Styela clava: one gene and its partner. The protein of the gene in region 1 interacts with the protein of each later gene in a pairwise test. Links are inferred from orthologs where the notes say so. Each region holds a gene or a part of one and is shown on either strand. Other genes may lie near its edges. The genes, in order: BCAS3 microtubule associated cell migration factor-like and phagosome assembly factor 1-like.

Region 1 (11,742 bases):
TTCCTCATTTTTCAGTTTGTACTTATTTTTAACACTCACATCAATAAATTTAATCCTGGTTTTTGAAATATGACTTTATTTTAAACTACATCAATATTTTCATAAATCAGATAAACACAACATAAATTTGAATATTGAAAACAAATTATACAGGCGAGGATGGCTCTTAAATTGGACAGAGCCTGCATGTAAATGTTTGTCAATTTCCCAAATTTGTGCTATAATAGTGTTTTCAGCCAAACCACCGAGAATCATACCGTCTTTCCTTCACCGTACCTTGATCATTATTTAACCTTGACAGTCACAACCAATCTTGCAACGAAAAGTAAATCTGGACTGGAGTTGCAATGAATGTTTAGAACGATTTCAAGCAATGAAAAATTGTTGGTGATGATAAATATATTTGAATTTAATCACTTTTATCCCCATCCTTAATTTGGGATTCGAGCTGGTAGCCCTGTTGTTAACACTGGACATGTGTTCTAACTAATTTGAATTAAATACTGACCTTAGCAGGAGAATAAGCAAGCCATTTGTTTCCAACTGCAATGGGGTTGCTGTTTACACCTGGACTTGGATAGCAGTCTGAAATAAACGATAATGACAGATTGAATACCCTCAGCATTAATTATTAGCATATAAGTCAGCCTGGACAAAAAATATTTCAGCTGAATTAGTACCAGCCTGACAATATGTTTTAGTAGTGTGTGAATAATGATAATGAGAATATATTAAGCACAATGCCACAATCACTTGAATACAGGATCATTTGGCTATTTTTATTTATTCCAGTACAAGGGTTATTGTCTACAGAGTAAGTTAGGAATGTCACTTATTTCTGAAATGAAACCAAATTTCCATTTCCAACTAGATTCGGCAGAATGACCTTGGCGTTTGGACATTGACCCTAGGAAAATTAATATTCGAATATTTAGAAATATGAAACAATTACTTCTAGTCTTCCAAATTAAGGGCAAATTTAGACGCTGGTGGTAACTCCAACACAAGCATAAAATCTAATACTATGACTAGGATTAAACATGCACGGCTAAATAATCTTTGTATAACTTTGTATTGTGATTGAAAGATCTAGTCTCTTTGAGTACAGTATCTCAATTTCAAGCGATGGGTCATGAAGAGCAATTAAACATCACAAAAAACACTAGAGCAGTGGTTTTCAACCAGGGTTTCACAAATTTACATTCAAATGTTATTGTTTTAAATATAATCAAATACCTATAGTATGAAGTTAGCCACTATTTTTAGTAAACTTGCAAGACTTAAAGAGCATTTAGATCTGCCAGAATTAGGTTTGCTTTTATGTAGTCTATATTCATGAGCATTTCAATTTTATTGATCAAATGATGTTTGAGGGTAACATTTCCCTCATTTATCATTAGTAATCCATCAAATTTTCAATCCATCAAATGACCAATATTTCAATATACATGAAAAATATGTGTAAGATAGTTTGTAAAAGATAGATATTAAATAACATCAAATTGAAAATGAACATAACGATATACCAACCTCTGACTGTGAAAATTAGTTTAAAGTCAAAAGTGTTGAAAGCTTTTATCTCATATCTCAACGTGACAATGATCATTCCTTCCAATCCAGTACTCAGCTCTTCAACATTTTCATCGAATTCTAACTGTCGTATTTTATCCTTTGTTCGCAAAGAGAATATACTCACTGATGTGAATAGCTGTTTTCTAAAACAATGATTGACTTTTATTAACAGCAGTCATAAATATAATTGATTTCGAACCTCAATATCCAAATAATACAACAGGAAAAAATGTCTAACATGGATTAAATACTCAAAGAATTCAAAATTAATTACACTCGATTTTTAAATTCTCGATTATAGGAATGCAATTCTTTTGAAATAGTTTCATTAAAAGATTGCAGTCTCATAGTTTTTCAATTTCAGAAAAAAGGGTAAAAAAAAAGAGACCAATCGAATCATTGTTTATTCTCAATTTTCTGCATTTTTATTTCAAACTAAATAAAATGTGGATCAAACTACCAGATGTGCTCGTCGTTAGACTAATTTAATACGAAATATATTTCATCTTTAATATTTAAAAATATTATTTTAGAATGTATCACGAAATAAAGGTATTAGGTCTCAGCCATACCTGATACCAAGTTATATATTTGTATAGTTAGTCGGCCTCAGCAGAACTTTGAAAAGGAAAATAGAAGTTTGCAGTGGCCAGTGGCAGTGAATACAAATTTACTTTTGCAGTGATGTAGACTATTGTTTATGGGCATATGCATCATCAAGCTACCAACTCAGGTATGAAATATTGGAAGATTGAGGCGCATTAATCAGTATTCCTCAAGTCACCTCCTGAACTAACCTGTCAGCAGCCATACAAACAGCTAGCAAAGGACGAGATATTGTGTATTCATCATGCTTTTTATCACCTATAATTAAAAACACCAGTTATGTTTATCTTATAGATTACGAGTAAGATTGGTGAAAAGCATTCAAATGATTCAGAATATTAATTACAGCATCTTTCTCGATGCTTTCTCACAGCCTAAATTTGAACAATCCAAATGAGGGCTGTTGAGTCAAGAAAAATTTAGAACAGACTCCAACTTCAAATTTAATAAATGTCTCCTGGTCCAAATTGAAACAGAATTTGTCCTCAACTTCAGATTGGAGGAAGTTTTGACTCTGACTCTAGTATTGAACTATGACAAATCAAATTTAAATAACAACAACTTTGGAGTATGTGAGACTTTTATACCTGTTTGTTGAGAGTGCTTAGTCAACTCGATGTTTTGTGAGTTTCGGACAGAAATTTCAACCTCCATTATAATCATTAGAAGCCTTAAATTCAAACTCTATCAAATTTAGATTTTGAATATCGCCCCGATGAGATACAGCTCCAGTTCTCACTCCAATAACAAAATAATATGCCAGTTTACTTCACCAACTCAAGCTGATCAGAATATCGAAGATTGAAATGCAATGTACAGTTGTACACTAGAATTTGAACATACCTCTGGGACCCTCTCTCTAGTCTAGACAAAGCTTGTTACATTTATGAAGCCATCAAATTAATTAATAACATATATAGGATTCACAAACATACTTGAACTGCTTGGTGGAGGAACTAGACAAGCTGTCTTCACAGGACCTTCACGCAAAGATAAGATCTCTTGTACTTCACCATTTTCCTGGGATCAAAAGGAGTTTTTTAACAAAATTATTGAAGAATATTACACATGTTGAAAGTACTGGACTGTCCGAAATTGTCTGAACAGCATATCTGACAGACAGTACACCAAAATGAAACTGCTTATGTTAGTACTTTTACAACAATCAATTTGTCAATCTATCATGCTTGGAATATAAAATTTCCTCAAACGCTATAGATATGCTGCAGATTTGAAATCATATTTTGAAAATTCGTTCAGTTACTGGATTTATTAATTAGAATACTGAAGACTTTTATGATCATCCCTGAACAAAAGGCATCTTTTAAATCAAACTTACACATATTATCCATGCTTGTACTCCATTTTTATATCCCAGGATCAACAGCAAAGAATCAACAACATCATTTCTACTCCCATTTGTAAAACCGTCAAATTCAGGATCCAGAGCATTCTTATAATCAAATAATCTTGCCCACAGAACAGTTTCTTTTTCTTCTGCTTGAGATGTATTAGAATATACCTATTGAATATAAGAGAGTACAACATTACGAATACAGCTGAATATATTACTTTCAGATGAATAATTTTGTAGGATGGGATTTTTATATTTATCCAAGGGAGAGAAAAGTTGATAAGACACTTAATCATATTATGGTGAACAACACCCTCTTATATGGTTACCAGTTCATGTCAGGTATGAGAATGGATAACCATTTATTCGTTGCAGATGTATGGACTTGTGTAGAAAGACTACACCATATATATGAAACTCGCTACAAAAACAAAGAAGAGTCTAGAAATCCTATCGCACATGATCATCCCCCACAGAATTCTATCTGTGAATCACTGCAGGGTAATCAGAGGTGCAAGAGCTTTTCAACTTATTTTCCTAACTGAAACTTATGGTGGATTATATCCTTTGGAGAAGTGCAAGTTTCTATGTTAGATATTGAATAGGCCTACTCGCTCTTCTGGACAATATTGATATATAAAGCAATAATGTAGACAGTTTTTCTATAGTTGAGAACCTTAATCATGTGAACATATTTGGTTAAAATCTCCAGCTCCTGGTTCTGTGATCAACCAATTTCTATCTCACACATGTTAAGATAGATAAAGCAGACTTATCTTTCTATGCAAAGCTCCCTATATCTTAGTGATAAGAAATGTACAAGCAGATATTATATTGTATATAAATATGGAAATCTTATAATATAACACTTACTTGTCCAATATCATGAAAAAAATTCACCATGCTTTCCATGTAAGAACTGTCTCTGAAAAGAGTAAAATAAAATTAAATCCATGCAATCCCCAAATCGAACATGTTCATGAAGTGTATTGGTTGCTCAAGGGTAAGTTGATTGAATTTGAACTTATAAATATACTTACTTCATTGGTTGTGCTTGCACAACATGACCCGAAGGCGCGTCTCTTCGACGTCTTGAATTCATCGTTTCAAAATTTGTAATACCACCAGACATGTCTTTATTGAACTTCTAAAAATATAATAAAAGCAATTTACCAGTTACAATATATAAAAGTGAAATAGAAGCTAGCAAGGTTTTTGAAAGTGATTCATCACCTTACAGCAAGTTACAGTGTAACATATGTTCCACAAATATTGGCATATAAGTAGGTTCGACAATCAAAAATCTAACGCATAAATCATTTATGAGAGTAAATGGGAAAAAATATTCTGTTATGCAAATGAAAGAATAATCAGTTAGTTTCACTTCTCAAACAAATTCTGAATCATCGTCATCGTGTTTTTTATTGTTTGTCAAATGTTGAGGCGATCCGTCAATTTTTGCATTGAAGCATATTTTAAAATATAATTCTCACATATTATGACTCTTTTCTTCCTAGCGAGTTATTGATTTTAAACATGTTTTTATTGTGTGAACATGAAACATAATTTCTAAATAAACCTGCATTAAAAATTAATTCAATATACCTTTGAATAACATAGCTGGAATAATTGGTTGTTGTGTGAATTGTATCTGATACATTAGCATTTTAATTTTGCTATCAGTTTCTAAGAAAAAAATTAAACATATTTTTGAGTAATAATATAATAATATTACAACATTAAAAAAGTGACTATCTGAAACTTAAAACATGCATTTCCAAATCGCCTATGCACGAAAACAACGGTGATAGAAATACTTGCATTTTAAACAGATTCCAACTGAAAAAATATATCTAATTATGGCAGTCCAAAAAAATATCCTGATTATCTATTATTATTATTATTATGCACTTTAACAATACACGCACAACTATAAAAATGTCCCAACAAGATATCCCAACTCAGGTAAATATACATATAACATATACCTGAGCTGCAAATTCAAATTGATCTCATTAAAATATAATCAAGTAATAACGAACATTCAAGCCTAAGCTCTGAATAACACACCATGAATAGTATGAAAAAATTTGAGTACCTTTTGACAGGTTCTCCATATTACAAATCATTTTGACAATTAAACCCTTCGATGTTATTTTAGAAACAGATGGAAATTTTGAAACGAAATAAAATAGAAAAAAGCGACATATTGAAAAATTAAAGTGAGAAATTAAAAATAATATATGAATGCATAAATTCTCGAAAAAAAGAATACAATTCTTCTCCTGATACAGAACATAAGCATTGATTAATTCTGTAATGATCTAAGACAGTATGAAGTTATAAAGCTGCTTGATAAAAACAAGTATTGGTCAATAAACTATTCAGTTACTGAAGCAGAGGCCAGGTGTTTTACACATAATTGCGAATTTGTGAAAGCTGTAATGTAGAAAAGGGTTTCAAAATATTTAAGAATTTTCATACAACCTACTGGTAAGTATATTATTATTATCAACTTTTCCCCGATAAAATATAAAGGTTGTATAATTATGTCACATATAATTTATTATTCTAATTCCACGGATCCGGCTTATAAAGTACAATTCTGTACTATCTTTACCATCATGCAAGAAATATATCTTGACAGATCAAACACATGATGAGCAAACGTCTAATTCATCCACACTGGATCTGCTGATTTACCAATATGTCATTAAAAGTGTGCCTCTATCTAAGATGTCAACATAATATATGACCTAGTATTCTGGATTGCAAATATTTAAAATTGATTGAATAAAAGGATAGTAATTTGGTTTTGAATATAGCCATCTTTTTTAAATATCATTATTTCTGATTCATATGAAAATTAATATTTTTTTCTGTAAAACATCATATTTTTTCTGCTAAATCACCATAGTCTGTAATAATATCAAGAAAAAAAAACAGTTAAAATTGGGTAGACATGGATGCTAGAAATTGTTGAATAATAAAATTCTGAAGAACTGCAGCAGATGACTTGATAGTGCAAGCAAATGACAAATGACAAAAGTGATCATTTCAGTGACTAAGCATACTGAAACATTGTCATATCATTCAGACATTTTTTTTTTCATATTCAGCTTGCCATCCAATTTTCAAGCTGCCTGAGTTCTGCTTCATCATCTTTCACTTTTGCCACTGGAGTAGGTAGATCCGATACTGGGACATCAGGAAGTTCATTTGTTGCTGCACCCACATTCAGCAATTCTCTGTCTAGATCTTCCTGCTCTAATTCCTCAAGTTCAGCCATGAGATCATCTTCATCAATGTCTGTGCCAAATCCTACAGGACCTGACAATGCGTCACTTATTTCTTGAGCAACTTGTTGTTGCTCTTCAATGTCATCCATAACCTCATGAACATCATCTGCTGACATGTTTCCATGAACCTGTTTCAATGCTTTTGCGCCATATTGCATGTTTTTGAAAGTTTGTGCATTTGCTTGTGCATCCTGCAACGCTTCCACTTGAAACTCAATATTTGATAAAGTCCCATCCACCTGACCAAGTTGTTTTTCAAATCTCTTCTTTCTTTTAAGTGCTGTTAAGGCTAGCTTTTTATTTTTAGTGCCATGTCTTTTGGCGGTAGCAAGTTCATCTTGAATCTTTTTCTCCAAGTATTCTGATTTTTTCTCAAGCATTTCCTGTGTTTCTTTCAATTTCTGGATCGCTTCCTCTCGTGTTGGCTGTTTACTTTTACCTCCTCCAAATAACTTTGCTAATCCACTCATTTTTCGCAAAACTATTCTTCCAGTAAATACGTGCGTTTTCACTGTGCAGATATAGTTCAGGCAGACAACAATTACAATTGCACCACAAGGACGACAAAACAAAGCGATTTTTCCTGAAGCTCATCAGCTGACAAAAACAAAACAAACTTGTCGGCGGTCAACCATGTAAGAGTTGAAAGGTCATATTGCGACGCCCACTAAATATTATATTTGTCCAGTCTTGCCATTCAGTAATCAGTATTTACTTATAATAAGTATAAGTATATAAGTATAAGTTTACCAATCTTAAGATCGGTAAGTATGTTGATAGGTATTTGTCTGTGTATGTCTGTTTGTCTGTATGTTAGATGCACGCGATATCTCACGGAAGCGAGGTTGAATCTGCTTCAAATTTTGCATGTGCATTCGTTATAGCTCGGATCAGAAGCCTATTGGATGGATTATGTCTTATAGTTAGCGAGTTATTAATTAATTAGTGATGGGACACACAGTGTCACTATGGAGTAAGACCACTGTTTTGGGAGATCCCCTAACCTTCGATCGATAAGTCTTCGGTTTCTAACCGATATTCTAGTTTATTTCTTCATCATGCTGAAAGTACGAACTATACACAAATTAAAGGAAATGTTAAAAAAAAATGCATTATATGGTGAGAGAAGACGCCGAAAACAATTTCTTTTAACTGTAAATTATATGAGCTCTTTTTATAAACTACAAGTACGGGAACAGAGTACTGGCTGTTAGCGCACGCACCGCTGCCCAACTAGGGTTGCCAACCGTCCTTAATTGAGTTTTTCTATCCTTGTTCTTTATTATTATTTATTAAGTTTGTAAATTACGCATTTCGTCCATTATTTCTAACATCGCTTTCCCTATAAGAGCTGCCAAATATTTAGAATTAGATTAAAATATTGGTTGATTACTGTACAGTGCAGTTTACAATAAACAATCGTGTGCCGGAAGTGCGACTCAGAAGTTAATCAAGCTCGTTTGAGTTGTTGGTAGTGAGGAAATAGGAGGGCACGTGCTCCTTGCGCTAAGAGGATATGAAGCGGATAATTCAAGAAATGAGTAAAAATACCGATACAAACAAAACTGAACACCAACTTCCTACAAATGTAGATTCCGTTGTGACTTGCAAAACGATTGTCGACTATAGATCGTTTTTCAATTCAGCAATAACATACTAAAAATAGGTCTTGCAGGGAATTCGCTTCCGAAATATCAGAAATTGTTGAATATAGTCAATTTATTTTTCCCTCAGTAAAAAATAGCATACGGAATTAAAATATATAAAAATTTAACTCGGTTATACTTAGAGAACCGATACCACTTTTGCCGCCGTTACCGATATAAATGAAAATATGCCGATACCGACGAGGCGATATTTCAAAAAACCGATATTGCCGATATTCTGATACTATTTGATTATTACCTCGTGTACAGATGCATTACCTTAATCAATTCTGATGCATTGTGCATCGACTCTAGTAATCTCGCTGTTCAATTAGAAAATTCATACGATCCGGTTACTATGGATGGTAAAGTGAATAAATATTCACTTATCATATCAAACTGATATATTGCGTTGCGTGCGCAGGAATTTGTGCCAATATAACGTCGTATTTTGTATGTCACACATTGGATAATCTACTAATCTTCGATTGATATATTTCATCATAACTTCCCTGTAATATTACAAATGTCAATATAAACATTTGGCAGCGAAAATAGCAAATTTAGTTGAGCTAGTTTGGCTTAATAATAACTAAAAACAAGTCAGAATCAAGTTTTAGTTTCTACTCGCGGAGGAGAAATACCGCAAATGTCATGCCGCAAAAAAATAATTTCAAGATTCGTTCTCTAACATATTCTTAAACATTCGTAATCAGATTTAAAAGCAAAATATATCGGAAGTATCGGTCTACATTTAGCCGACACTAATACAAATACCGATACCAAAAAAATGGTCGATATTGCAAATAACTAATACCGATGGCGATACATTAATAAATCTTTAGTTACAATGGGTGAGGGAAAACGCGGGGACCCAATACTGGTTATTGAGCAGCCACACCCAAGGTTCTAATATCTAATAAGGTCAGGAACCAACAACGGCCATTAGTATTTATTAAACTAAACGGCAGACTTGCTCTGAACATAGATGTCCTTTTCCATGAAATCGCATTATTTAAAAAAAATTATTATTCAAAGTTCGAATTCACAATTGTGTAAATAATATCATCAAGATATATCATTAGTGCTTCGGCCCCGGGGACATCGGAGTACATAAAGATTAGACAACAGTTGCTGAAGTCGGCTCATCCGAGATTAGCCGTGGAAACAAACGGAAAGCAATAGTTCAGATTGATCCGCAGAGGCTGTAATGAAGCCTTGACAAGTAAGTCAAAGAATTGCCGTCCTGTGTGTTTGTCCTTTGTTTTGTATTTTTTTTTTTATATGGAAGTGTTCAAAATAAATTATTTATTTATATTAAAATATTTGACGAAATAATATCGCATTAATTTTTAGATCATGTTGAATGAGTTCCGAATTTCTTGGCTATTGCTAATAAGTAAACGGCTGCCACACACTTGTAAGTTTACAAGTATATGACTGACTTTAGTCAATTATCCCATATGTTAGGTTGACAAGACGATGTGGCAATAAATATATATATTAATAATAATAATTAAACCATCCTTTTCAGATTTTCTCCCATATGATACCTATACATAACATATAAATACCATTGTATGCAACAGTGAATTACTGTAAAAGAAATTTTCAATTTTTCATCTAAATTTATCCGCGTAGAATTAGTATTTAATTTAGTTATTGTTTACATTTTGAGGTTTTATATTCAGTTAACCATGGTTTTATGTCCTTTATGGCTTTTCAGTTACGTTGATCTCGGCCTATTACAGTATTGGATGAATTGAGTCTATAATTCAGTTTTCAAAAGGGAAATACTCTTGGTTTCAGAGGATACTGTATACTGGTTTATAAAATATCAACATATTCAATGCTACCTGACACGAAAGACATATCTAAGAGGGAGGCTCATAATGGCTGTGCCAGTGCGGAATTGCTCCTGAAAGAATTGGATGTTGAGGACTTGCCAAGTTCTGTTTTTGTGTGTGATGTTCCGAATATGGTGTTCTGTGAAGAAGACGTTAAGGTATGCTTGTACATTAAATACTTTATTGGCTATCTGTACATTGCAATATTGGGTCTGGTATAGTTTAGTACCACAGCCACTTCTAGTTGGCCTGGCTCAACAATTTTTGCATATGTCAATCCTAACCCCAACCTGACTACGTCACCGAAAAATTACGTCATTCCGACGTCACAGTGGCGTAATAAGGCTCACCGAAGTATGCGGATGGTCGTCCAAAACGTGCAGACGATAACCGAAATCGAGCAAGCTATTTCTCTCGTTTTCTCGTCGCAACGATCACGATAGGAGAGAGATCGCCAGCTTTAGCAAGTTCTTATCGGCGGCGCAGATGCCATTTCGAGCGATCATAATTATACTTTGGCAACCCCTATGACGTGATGGTGACGTCAGAGTAACGTAATTTTTAGATGGCATAGTCAGGTGGGGGTTAGGAATAACATATGCAAAAATTGTTATGCTACGCCCACTGGAAGTACTTGTGGTACTAAACTATACTAGACCCGCAATATCTTCTTGATGCAGAACAGTCTGACAGTAAATTATATATACCGTAATATTTGATATAACTTTAGGCAGTTAGGTGAGTGAACACTTACCACTTGTATTTGGCAATACCTTCCATATTCTATTATTGTATTATGTACGTTCCAAACCTTATTCAAGGTTTTGTTTGCTCTCTCTGATTTCATAATCAGGTTTGATTTATCCGTTTTTATCAATCATTTTATTGTTATGCTGTTTATGGAGTCGAAATAAACTTATACTTATTTGCTGATTTGTTATTCTAAGTACAGACTGACAGAACATTTCCGTAGCATACCGGTACTGTAGCCTAGGACATGCAGAAATGGCATAACTCAGTAGCCATATAGCATAGGCTCGGTGCTGTGGAGCATCATCTGTTTATGCTAAGCATTAGTAATATGCTTGCCACCTCTACCCTGCAGTAAAACTTATGTGCGAGAGAATTGCTGGACTCCTTTCCGCCATAGTGTGGTTCGCACAACGGCTGGCCGCTCACGTCTTCCTCCGCCATCTAAAACAAGCGGCTGTGGTTTGTCATATGATTAAGACTCATCGATATTCCTCTTCCCCGGGATAAATATGTAAATCCTATCCTGCAGTGGCCAGGTATTGACTTCATGATGGAGGAAGCCATAATAATCACTCTACAAAGGTGGGGGGTCCATTAACCCCCTCGCACATAATTATCCCCACAGGATTCGAACACATGGGATAACCAACCTCAACATGTTAATC
Region 2 (11,123 bases), on another chromosome or scaffold:
TATTATTATTGTAAGTGCTTTTAATTACCAGGATTGTGTGCGCCATACTAGAAGCAATTTTCAATAGACAATACAGATAGTCCACATAAGCCGAACACAAAAATGCAATTTTTAGATGAATTGCAGTTTTTTTAAAATAGCCTATGTTACGGAATTTATGTAAAAAACATGCCACGCGGAAAATATTTCAGATCTAGGTTATATCAGCTACAGCTATATTAACCGGGTCGAGCAAACAAACTTGATTGCAAAGGGGATAATTTGGGGGCCAGATAAAAGGTATTTCATTTGGGATGAAATATTTAAACTATGTGCATAATTTATCAAAGTATTTCTCTCATTATTATACTTGGAATAGAATATAAAAAAAGGGTTGAAGTTTCTTGAACAGAACAAGTATCACAATCACCACCCGGGTGACAGGCTATTTTAAAAAGATGATGGGAGAGCCTGCAATGTTCAGTCTGAAGTCTAAATGAAATTGATTGATGATATCGTGTGAGAGAAAAGTTCGGATATGAATCTACTGTCGGAATAAACATTTTGAAGTGTGCTCCGACAGTTGACATTTGATATATATTCAAGATTCCATTTATTCAAACATATACTTCTAATTACAGTTTTTGCTCCAAGTAGTGTATATGAGATATTTTGATATAGTGGTGTTTCCAATGCACGATCTCGCTAGCTAATCCGCTCTTTCATTTCCCTTTATACCCACATGGCCCAAGATCCAAATGTATTTAACAATAATACTTTTTTTTCTCTGATTTGTAAATTCCCCCCGTGCATCGATTTATTTCCGTAACAATCACCAATAAGGCGAAAATGACGCAACAATTAAAATATACGCGGCTGCTCATACATTTCTCCCGCTCAGGGCTCAGGCTGATGGGTGTAAAAAATGACTCATTAGTAGTTTTGCGTGTTATTTGTCAGTTTTCAGTTGAGTTTCCAAAAGTTAGTTGTAAATCAAATAACTTAAGTGTCATTATGTCTACCAGGAAACTTTAGTTCAGTTGCAATATTCAAAAATTAGTCCCGAAAAAGCTGCTATCGACTAAGCTAAAATTTTAGGATCATTACCTGTGAGCGACATATGGTTAAATGATTTAAATTAAACGAAAATAATAGTTTTGAACATATGAACCAGTTCATATGTGCCAACTCTCCAAAAATTAGAGGGAGTATTTTTCTGGTGTCAAGTGTCGGGGTAACATCGTATGGAGACTTTCTCTGGGGTGAAGGGTCGAGAAAACAGTCATTATGCATGCTCATGTGGTTAGTTAGAAATAAAATTGTCAGATAATGCCAGCACTTATTTTGAAGCAAAGAGGTGATTTTGAAGATTGATTTGCACACTCTATCGGTTACTTCGAATAGCCTCAAAATAAGTGTTAACATTTCATGGTTACATACCGCAATATATATATCTTCATTGTATATATCAAGTCCATGCATCTGAAAATAAAAACTAGCTAACTAATCCCGTATCCGACATCGGCTGGGCCGTGGTTTACCATGTTATTAAACCGCCGGGATAAAATAAATATGCAAAACCGTTGCAATAATTGGCATCTCATCAAAGAACAAGAGAGCGATGCTCATATATATGGACACGTAGACCAGAGCGAATCAGTCCTTATTGGTACCTTTGAGGCTACCGGTACCCTCAAAAAAGTTCCGAATTTCCAGTAGCAAAAATTTTGCAGAATCAAAACGTACATCCAGTCACCACGCGGACTAAAATCCGTGTTTCCATGTATAAATAATAATACAGTGAAATTTTGGAGGAAATATCAAATTTCATAGAATTCATACAAAATTTAGAACTAAAAAGTAATAGCCTTCTGGAGAAAAGTCCATCTTCAACCACTGAAAATTTCAAAGCAATTGGTCCAGTAATCGAAAAGAAAAGCGACTTTTCAAAAACGTGTCAAAGAACAAGCATAAGAACAACAAAAATACCGAAACGATCGTTATATCCACTACGTGTCCAAAAACAAATTACCATCTTATCTTATTGTGAATGGCAATAAATTGAATGATGGCAATGCAATTTGTAGCGCTCTTAACCAACATTTCTTAGAAGTTGGTCCTAAACTTGCTTTACGAATAAGTCCAGTTGCAACAGATCATATGCAAACTGAACACTAAAAGAAAGAAGAGAATGAAATTTCTTCCGACGAATAATGAAATGATTGAAGTTACTAAAAAGATGAACACTAAATAGAAGAAGTGGATGAAATTTCTTCCGACGCATAACGAGGTGGTTGAAGTCACTAAAAAGCTGAACACTAAAAGGAAGAAGTGAATGAAATTTCTTCCGACGAATAATGAGGTGGTTGAAGTCACTAAAAAGCTGAACACTGAAAGGAAGAAGTGGATGAAATTTCTTCCGACGAATAATGCTGTGGTTGAAGTCACTAAAAAGCTGAACACTAAAAGGAAGAAGTGGATGAAGTTTCTTCCGACGAATAATGAGGTGGTTGACTCGGCCAATGTAAATAGCATCATTTCGGACATAACCCATATACCCAACACTGTTTCGGATCACATACTATGCCCACAAATTACACTAGAACAAACCAAAAAGGTTCGATGGGGCAAAGGAACGTGGCGCAATAACACCGCGCTATATAAGGACCCCACGTATATCACCATCATCCAAAATACATATAAAGACGCACTCACGGATATCGAAAACTTTGATTACTTGTCGGACTGGTGGGACTATGTGAAAAAGAGGGTTAAAAAACAAACCATTGCCTACTCGAAATTCCGGACACGTGACCACAATACTAGCTTAATGCAAATTCGAAAAAGATTTGATATATATACTAATCAATGAGGGGAAAGCGGAAAACATGATCGAAATCAAAAGGCTAAAATCGCAGATCGAGATAATTCAAGATGAACGAAACAAAAGGGACATACTAATGGCAAAAATGAAAAACCTTGAAGAAGGAGAAAGGCCCACCAAAACCTTTTATGAAAAAATCCGGCGCAGATCTAGGCAAACAACAATAGAAGAGCTGGTGACAAATGACCAAAATGTAAAAACAAATCCCGGGGAGATCATATCAATAGTAGAAAGTTTCTATAAGAACCTATGGGGCAAAGAGAATATAACGCAAGAACAATACCAAAATCGTTATCTAAACTTAATGGGCTCTTCTAAAATTGCAGATGAGGATAATATCATACTAGAAAGTTATATCTCACAAGAAGAGGTATATAGGGCGATAAAATTTATGGGAAACGATAAATCCCCAGGATTTGATGGTCTATCCAAAGAATTCTACCTGACCTTCTGGAACTCTATTAAAAAGCAATTTACTCAACTTATGAATAACATATTATATTTCGGCCAAATACCAAAATCTGCTACCATAGCGAAAGTTAAATTAGTATACAAGAAGGGAGACAAAACAATTTAAAAAATTGGAGGCCAATCACAACGCTCAATGCGGACTATAAAATCCTATCAAGAATCCTTGTTAAACGATTAGAACCAGTACTAAACAAAATCATAAGTCCATCCCAGAAATGCGCACTCAAGCAAAGATGTATGGAAGATGTTCATTATAATATAGACGCTATAATTAGACACTGCAAAATGAAAAATATCCCCGGATCACTAATAATAATAGACAATCTTAAAGCTTTTGATAGAGTGAATCATGACTTCTTATTTAAAATTTTACATCAAATTGGACTTGGAAATAGAATCTCAAAAGCAATTAAAAGCATGTATTACGGAATTAAAAGTCAGGTAGATGTAAACGGTAGACTCACGCAGGAAATCGATATAGGGCAAGGAATTAGACAAGGATGCCCGTTAAGTATGCTTCTCTACGCCATCAATATAGAGCCCCTAGCAAGATCGGTACAATTAAATGCCAATATACATGGTATCCAACTGGGGAGATACGAGCATAAACTCGATCAGTTTGCTGATGATATCACGTTCGCAGTTAGAGATCAATTATCTATTACAGAAATCTTTCACGAGCTAGACAATTTCCATTTAGCAACAGGACAAAAAATAAATAAAGATAAGACCGAAATTCTCTGTATTACAAAAAAATCGCATAATTTAGTGAACAATTCGCCACATGGGAACTACATAAAACAAAACACCATAATACTTGGAATACAATTTGGAAATATGGACTTAAACAATATGTGGCAGGTAATCGAAAATAAGATGATACGAACCCTAAATTACGTTAAGCTGCGAAACCTCACCTGGTATGGTAAACTGATATCAATCAACTCCATGATTATGTCTGTCATAATCTTCCATACGAGAGTAAAGAGAATCCCGAAAACGTATATAAAGAAAATCGAGAGTGCGCTGTTTAAGTTCCTCTGGCACCCGCAAAAGATAGAGGCCATTAGCAGAAAATCGCTACAAAGAATGTGGAACGATGGTGGGATCAATATGATTGATGTTGATGCAAAAATAAAGGCATGTGCAGTGGAAAAAATGAGATACATCGTGGGTAACGAACCCCTAACTCAATTTTGGCAAATAGAGGCATTATACTCTTTGGGATCCAGAGTCAAGCAAATTAACAAGGATAGATACACCAACTCAATGCCCCACAGCAATACTATTCCAGAGCAATGGGCATACATCCTCGACATCTATAAAGAATTGAATTTCTCGCAATCCACCTGGGAGGTTGCAAGACATAAAGACCTGTACATGAAATTAAAGAACAACAGGACAGCCAAAGACAAACAACAGCTGCTGAATGTGAATTGGGAAGAAGCTCACCTATTTAACCATGATTATAAAAATAAGTTTATTAACGCGGAACGAATAATCTCGTATCGCATTATAAGAGAGGGGTACTTATTCGGCGATCGCTTGAGGGGAATGTCCCTCAGGTATGATACTCTCGGAAACTTAAAAATATTAGGCTGCAAATTTTGCAAAGGGCCTGTAGACAATACAGGACATATAATTATAAACTGTAAATCAACGAGGAAATATGCGGTGAAACTTTTAAAAATTCTTAACAGCGTACTAAGCAACTCCATCAAAATAACTCTAAAGGAAATATTCTACAATAGTTACAGGGGGCATAACCGAATAGTAGTCACCAAATGTTATGTAATATGGAAAAAGAACTTAATTGGCACCAAAATAAGACTGGATATCCAAAATAAATATTTGACCCCTATGGACGATGACATAATTTCAAAAACAATATCTCACTTTACGCAATTTTTAAACACAATGGAGAACACTTTTACTAACCTTAATTTTCTCGGAATAGTAAATAACTGGAAGGAGATCCTAAATGGATATTCAGCTACATAACGCAATCCACCATAAACAAAAGCATATCTGCCCAAGTGGACTCTGCAATTTTATTCATTTTTTATGTCGGAAATACCGGAATACCGGAAATACCGGAACAGTCTTATCGGCTTTCCTCGCCCCCGGGACAAATATGTAAATCCTATTTATCTGTGCTATTCTTATTGCTGTATTGTTTATTTATATTTCATACTGAGCCCGACTCTGTTATGATGATCTGTAATGTACTAGATCACAGTTTAGCACTAAAATATCTGCTGACTCAGTTTCTGCCCTTTTTATATTTATATTGTAGCAACCAATTCTGACAGTTACATAACAGTGTAAAATTGGTCACGAGCCTCGATGACTTTCAACGGTCTTGCATACTGGCCAACACAAAACAATGTGTAAATTGGATGATCTACTTCCATAAAAATCATCGATATTGCTTTATATTGTTTTATCATTGTTTGTGGAAATAAAATCTCTCTCTCTCCTCTTGCATACTGGAATAATTAATTTAGGGTCAAGGGTCGAGTAAACATACTTTATTGCGCGGAACCTTTTCTGACTTTTGCAGGTTTGTGAACAAAAAGATCGCGATATCCACATTTACGGTATGCGAGGACATCAAGGGAAGGGTAAGAACCGTACGGCGTACGGTATTATATGCGCTCTATACGAAGCGGACAGGCCTCACTCATTCTTCCTCATCAGTGTTATCAATTTCAAACGCTTTATGCGTAAAGTATTCTCTCTTTAATGTCATCTACGAAACGATTAAGTAGAAAGGTTCGTAACATTGATGTAATTGCATTAGGACAGTTATGATATCAGCCAGTTCATGAAAAATTGCATATTTAAATAAATGCAAAGTTATTTTATATTCTTACAAATTATTTAGCATAATGTCTGAATGTAGGCCTAGTCTTGAATTGATTCTTTAAATGAAATATACAGAAAATATAGATGAAATATTATTTTAGTTTTAATATTTAATATTATTAAAGTTTTTTATATCATTATTTATTCGAATTTGTTCTAGGCTACCGGTAGACTACCTGATCTCAACTAGTCTATCATCTCTTTCAATTCATTCCTCATTTAGTACAAAACATGTTTCTTGATCTTGACTGAATCAAATTTGATTTTCAATTTAAAATGCTCATTGGCCAAGATATTACTGTATTATGATCATGATTTTATTATCCATAAGAAAATATAGCTTCTAAGCTTCAGATCATATAATATAGCACTATGTTTGTAAATTGAAAGTTTGGCAAGAGATCCCACAGTTCATCTAAAATCTGGCTGGTATTTGGATGGGAAACTCCCAAGTCCATTTTCAAGTATTTTGCAGTATTGTGGCGTCTGAAGGCTGAAGCTGCCGCGAAACTATGGCCGCTATGCCAAACTCATGGCGACTGACTTTTTAGCTGCCAGAAACCATTTGCGGGTAAAATTTTGCTGCCTTAACCACGGCAGGTAGGCCCACTACTGCACTAGGCCGTAAAGACAGGGCTGCCCTGATAGTGACAAATATTGGGTAAGTTGGAACATTTTTTTATGGATACAGTTTTACATGTATTTGGGGTTAGGTTTCAGGTATAAATAGTCTATTTATCTATTTAAAATAGATATATTTCCGCATGATGAATTAAAATCTGGTATATAACTTTGTGAATATACGGGCAATAGCGCATAAATCATGGCAAGAGCCGCCGCAGTACGTTCGTGGCAGGAGCTGCCATGAAGTGGTAAGAACTGCATTAGGGTGAACTCAGAAATGCAGCATTCACTACTGCGGAGCTTTGTGATGCAATAGTCTATGTTTAAATTTTTTCACATGTTAATTTTAGTTGAACGACCTTCCCCCATCCAGTTAGTCCCATTATCATTATTTCTGATATGGCAAATTTATTAATGGGGTAATCCATTTGAGGTAAGTGGAAGCGTGTATCTTTTTTTTCGGTTTTCATTACTCATTCGATTATTCGTATATCTGTTTTATTGCGACTGAAAATCGGAATAAACTCTCTAAATTGTACCTATATTTTATTTGTATACAAATAGTTTGTTATTACCAGATTACTGTATTAGCTAAATCTAAGAGTGAGATGCTGGATTTAAATGTTCTCCCTGAAAGATCTCTTGGAAATGAACAATGGAGTTTTGCACTTGGAATGCCATTATCACAGATTGTACAAATTTTACAAACACATTGTCGAGTCATAAAAAGTGTGGAAGTCATTTATCAAGAGAAACGTCCAATCGAATCTGATCTGGTGTTGAACCTGAATAGTGATGGAATAAAACTTGTTTTTGACTCTACTGCACAACGATTAAAAGTGATTGAAGTTTTTAACATGTCAAAAGTTAAACTTAAATACTGTGGAAATTATTTTAATTCTCCACAAAATAAACCAACCCCGGAACAGATTGAACAAGCATTTGGCGCTACTCGACCAGGGCAATATGATGCAAGTTTGCAATCGTACATTGTAAGCTTCAGAGGTCTTACTTTTTTCTTTCCAGTCGATGCTCAATTTGAAAACTTCTTCGCTAAGCATTCGTTATCAAGTGCCACATCAAGTTTGCCCACAGATTTTATTCCTGCTGTATCAAGAATGTGCATTTATGCTGGGAGCCAACTGAATGAAACGACTGCACCAGCAATGCCATTGTCTTGTTATCATGGAAATCTATATCTTGATTCGGCTGAAGTTTCTTTCAAAGAAAATGGCAAAGAATGTGATGGACTAGATCTGAAACTAATAACTGTTCCTGATAATAAAAATGAAACTATCATTTTAGAAAAATCAGTTAAATTTGGTGATAGTGTTCAGCAAGTTCTTGCAATATTAGGATCTCCATGCAAAATTTTTTACAAGCTTCAAGATAAAATGAAAATACATTCTGCAAGTCCACGTAAATTGAATGAAACTCGCCACACAGATTATTTTTATAATTATTTTACTCTTGGAATCGACATATTATTTGATGGCAAGTTTCATCAAGTGAAAAAATTTCTTCTGCACACAAATTTTCCTGGACATTACAATTTTAATATTTACTATCGATGTGATTTCAAAATTAAGCTTCTTGGAGAGGAAAACTGTGTTGACGTTACTCCATGTACACTTTGGAATGATGTAATTGGCCAATTGCCTTTTGATGTTGGCAAACCAGTTGTTCTGAATAGAGCATCGTCAACAAATAACACTAACCCCTTTGGATCAAATTTTTGTTTTGGATTAAGAAATATGATTTTTGAGGTTATGTCGAATAATCATATTGCATCTGTTACTTTGTATAATCCGCAAAAACAGTTGAAATAACTTTTCAAAAATAAGATATTACTAGGCAACAGTATTTGAATGCTTGGTGACTTCAATATTTGCTCTAATCATTGTGCTGTCTATGTTTATGTGTGTTCAAAATTTAAAAGTTTGATTTGTTTACATATCAAAAATTTATATATTATCATATTCTAGACATAAAAAATGAAATAATTATTCTGAATGTTTTGAAAAATGTTGATAATACTGGAGAATTGTAAATTTTTTTTGATCTGTTACAAGCTTTAATTGGAAATTTTAGTTTTTGCTTATAACAGATTACTTCCTGAGTAAAGCCATTGGTTCATAACTAGTTGGGATATATAGCTAGCTGGTTTGCAAAATTACCTGATGTTCTGAATTCTGTTGGGTTTTCTTTGTTGTTTTAGACTGTGTATGTTTTTTCCATAATGAAATAGAATAAATAGAAGATATGGTAAATAATAACTGTGTAAATAATTCTGAATCATCTTTATTAGTTTGTTAATGGTGCAAACAGTAAAACATTCATTAATAAAAGCAGGCTTTTAAATTGTTTACTTTCCATTTGAGCATAATTATTTTGATATGTTCTGGTAAGTAGTCTCTGGAAACATTGATCATTCAATATGGATGCTATTAGCAGTGAAACAAATGGTTCCAAAGATACTATTATGAAAAAGAAAGAACTCAAAACAGCAATGCTGGAGAAACGCGAAGAGGAAAGAGTAGATAGCATTCAACAAAAACGGAATCAAGACACAGAGTCAAAAGCGAAGATGGAAACTTATGATTATTTTATATCACATTTCAAAGATGAGTGCGATGCTGTACAAACTGAACTGGACAGAACAGATATCAATAAATCTGATCGCATTCAAATTGCAAGTTATCTTGAAAATTTATCTGAGTCCTATGAAAAAGTTTTAAAATTTGTAAATAACTCTACAATGTTTCTACGACCTTATCAACTTGAGCAGGCACAGAAAACTCTTAATCAGGTTCAGACGGATGTTTCCAAGAAGAAGCTTGAACTGATTCCCAAAAAAAAGTTCACATTTAAATCTAAAAAGAAGAACGAAGTATCAGTTAAAGGTAAGACATCTATTATTTCACTTGTTGCAAACTTTCAGTTTCCATTTCATATTCCAAGTGCAATCCAATTAGTCTATATGTAATATTTTAGTGTCCTACGCTTTTACTGTACATAGACTCTCAGATGCATTTGTTTTTATTAATAGATAATTTCATTCCGAGTGTGGTAAAGATAATTATGTATAAGATTGTAAAATTCAAAAGTGGTGAATGTTTTATGGAAACATTCTTTTAAAAAATACTAATATTGTATTATTCAGAATCTGATAAGAATCCTGTAAAAAAAGTCGACGATAAGAAATTTAACTTCTCCGCGAGTGAATGCGGAATATCTGATAAATACGATGCGACTATAGCTATGAAACCTGATGAAATTAATCAAAGAGATGTATCATTGACAAAACTAGAAAATTGCCGACTGGAATTAAGTGGTTATCCAGGAACAGTACACCTTAACAACATAAAAAAATGTGTCATATTGTGTGGACCTGTATCAGGTTCTGTGTTTGTTGATAAGTAAGTAGTGTCTCTAAATGTATTGATATTGATCTGGTTTTATTTTCTCATAAAAATTTAATACACCTAAAAGGACTGGGAAAATTTATTTAGTTCAGTTGATTATTGTAGTAAGGGATAATCATGATCCTCCCAGCTTTTTAACCAGGCTTATACATTTTTACAGCTGTACCGATACCAAGATTATCACTGGGTGTCAACAGCTCCGTGTACATAATACAACTGATACTGATTTCTATATCCATGTCACCAGTAGAGCAATTATTGAAGACACATCGAGGGTACGATTTGCACCATTCAATTGGACCTATGAAAATCTTCAAGATGATTTTGGTAAATCTGGCCTGAATAAAGATTTGAATAACTGGAGTAAGGTGGATGATTTCAATTGGTTAGCTGCTGATATACCTTCACCAAACTGGTCTTTATTGCCAGAGTCTGAACGAAAACAACAGTGGTAGATATTTTAACCTACAAAGGATGATGTATTCTGAATAATTATACCATAGTCAAAAACAAATCGAATATTGTGTGTTGTAGGTTACGTTGGCCATATTTGCAAACCTATTGTGTTAAATATTTAACCGTTTTAGAAATAAATGAGATAATTTGTAACGATAATGGTGGATATTTTGTTGGAACTGTATCTGATCGTTGAAAACGATTTGTAAGCAGATAGCAAAAACACGTCTACGGAAACTTTTGAAACCGAATATCAAGGAAAATGATTTCATATTACTTCAAGGGGAGGGGGAAGTTATAAAACAGCTCAATAATATGGCAATATAAGAACGCGCTTAGGGCACCACAGAAATTTCATAGCAGAATTTTATATAGTTTATCAGTGTTTATTAAAAATATTACGAGTTAACCATGCG

Evidence for each region.
Region 2: the proteins of BCAS3 microtubule associated cell migration factor-like (region 1) and phagosome assembly factor 1-like interact in binary tests that used the Homo sapiens proteins (3 or more experiments, as listed by UniProt). The link is inferred for Styela clava from reciprocal best matches to the Homo sapiens genes BCAS3 and PHAF1.

Annotation. Positions count from the first base shown.
Region 1 is NC_135257.1:2,743,533-2,755,274, forward strand, and holds the start of BCAS3 microtubule associated cell migration factor-like, read right to left. Parts: upstream 5,240-11,742; 5' UTR 5,138-5,239; intron 4,680-5,137; 5' UTR 4,665-4,679; coding exon 4,573-4,664; intron 4,458-4,572; coding exon 4,406-4,457; intron 3,701-4,405; coding exon 3,518-3,700; intron 3,199-3,517; coding exon 3,114-3,198; intron 2,437-3,113; coding exon 2,370-2,436; intron 1,716-2,369; coding exon 1,531-1,715; intron 586-1,530; coding exon 509-585; intron 1-508. Other genes in the region: calcipressin-2-like, read left to right, coding at 10,327-10,482. UniProt on the Homo sapiens protein: Plays a role in angiogenesis. Participates in the regulation of cell polarity and directional endothelial cell migration by mediating both the activation and recruitment of CDC42 and the reorganization of the actin cytoskeleton at the cell leading edge.
Region 2 is NC_135263.1:19,870,588-19,881,710, forward strand, and holds phagosome assembly factor 1-like, read left to right. Parts: upstream 1-6,511; 5' UTR 6,512-7,434; coding exon 7,435-8,655; 3' UTR 8,656-9,212; downstream 9,213-11,123. Other genes in the region: tubulin-specific chaperone C-like, read left to right, coding at 9,264-9,729, 9,990-10,245, 10,412-10,706. UniProt on the Homo sapiens protein: Plays a regulatory role in autophagic activity. In complex with BCAS3, associates with the autophagosome formation site during both non-selective and selective autophagy.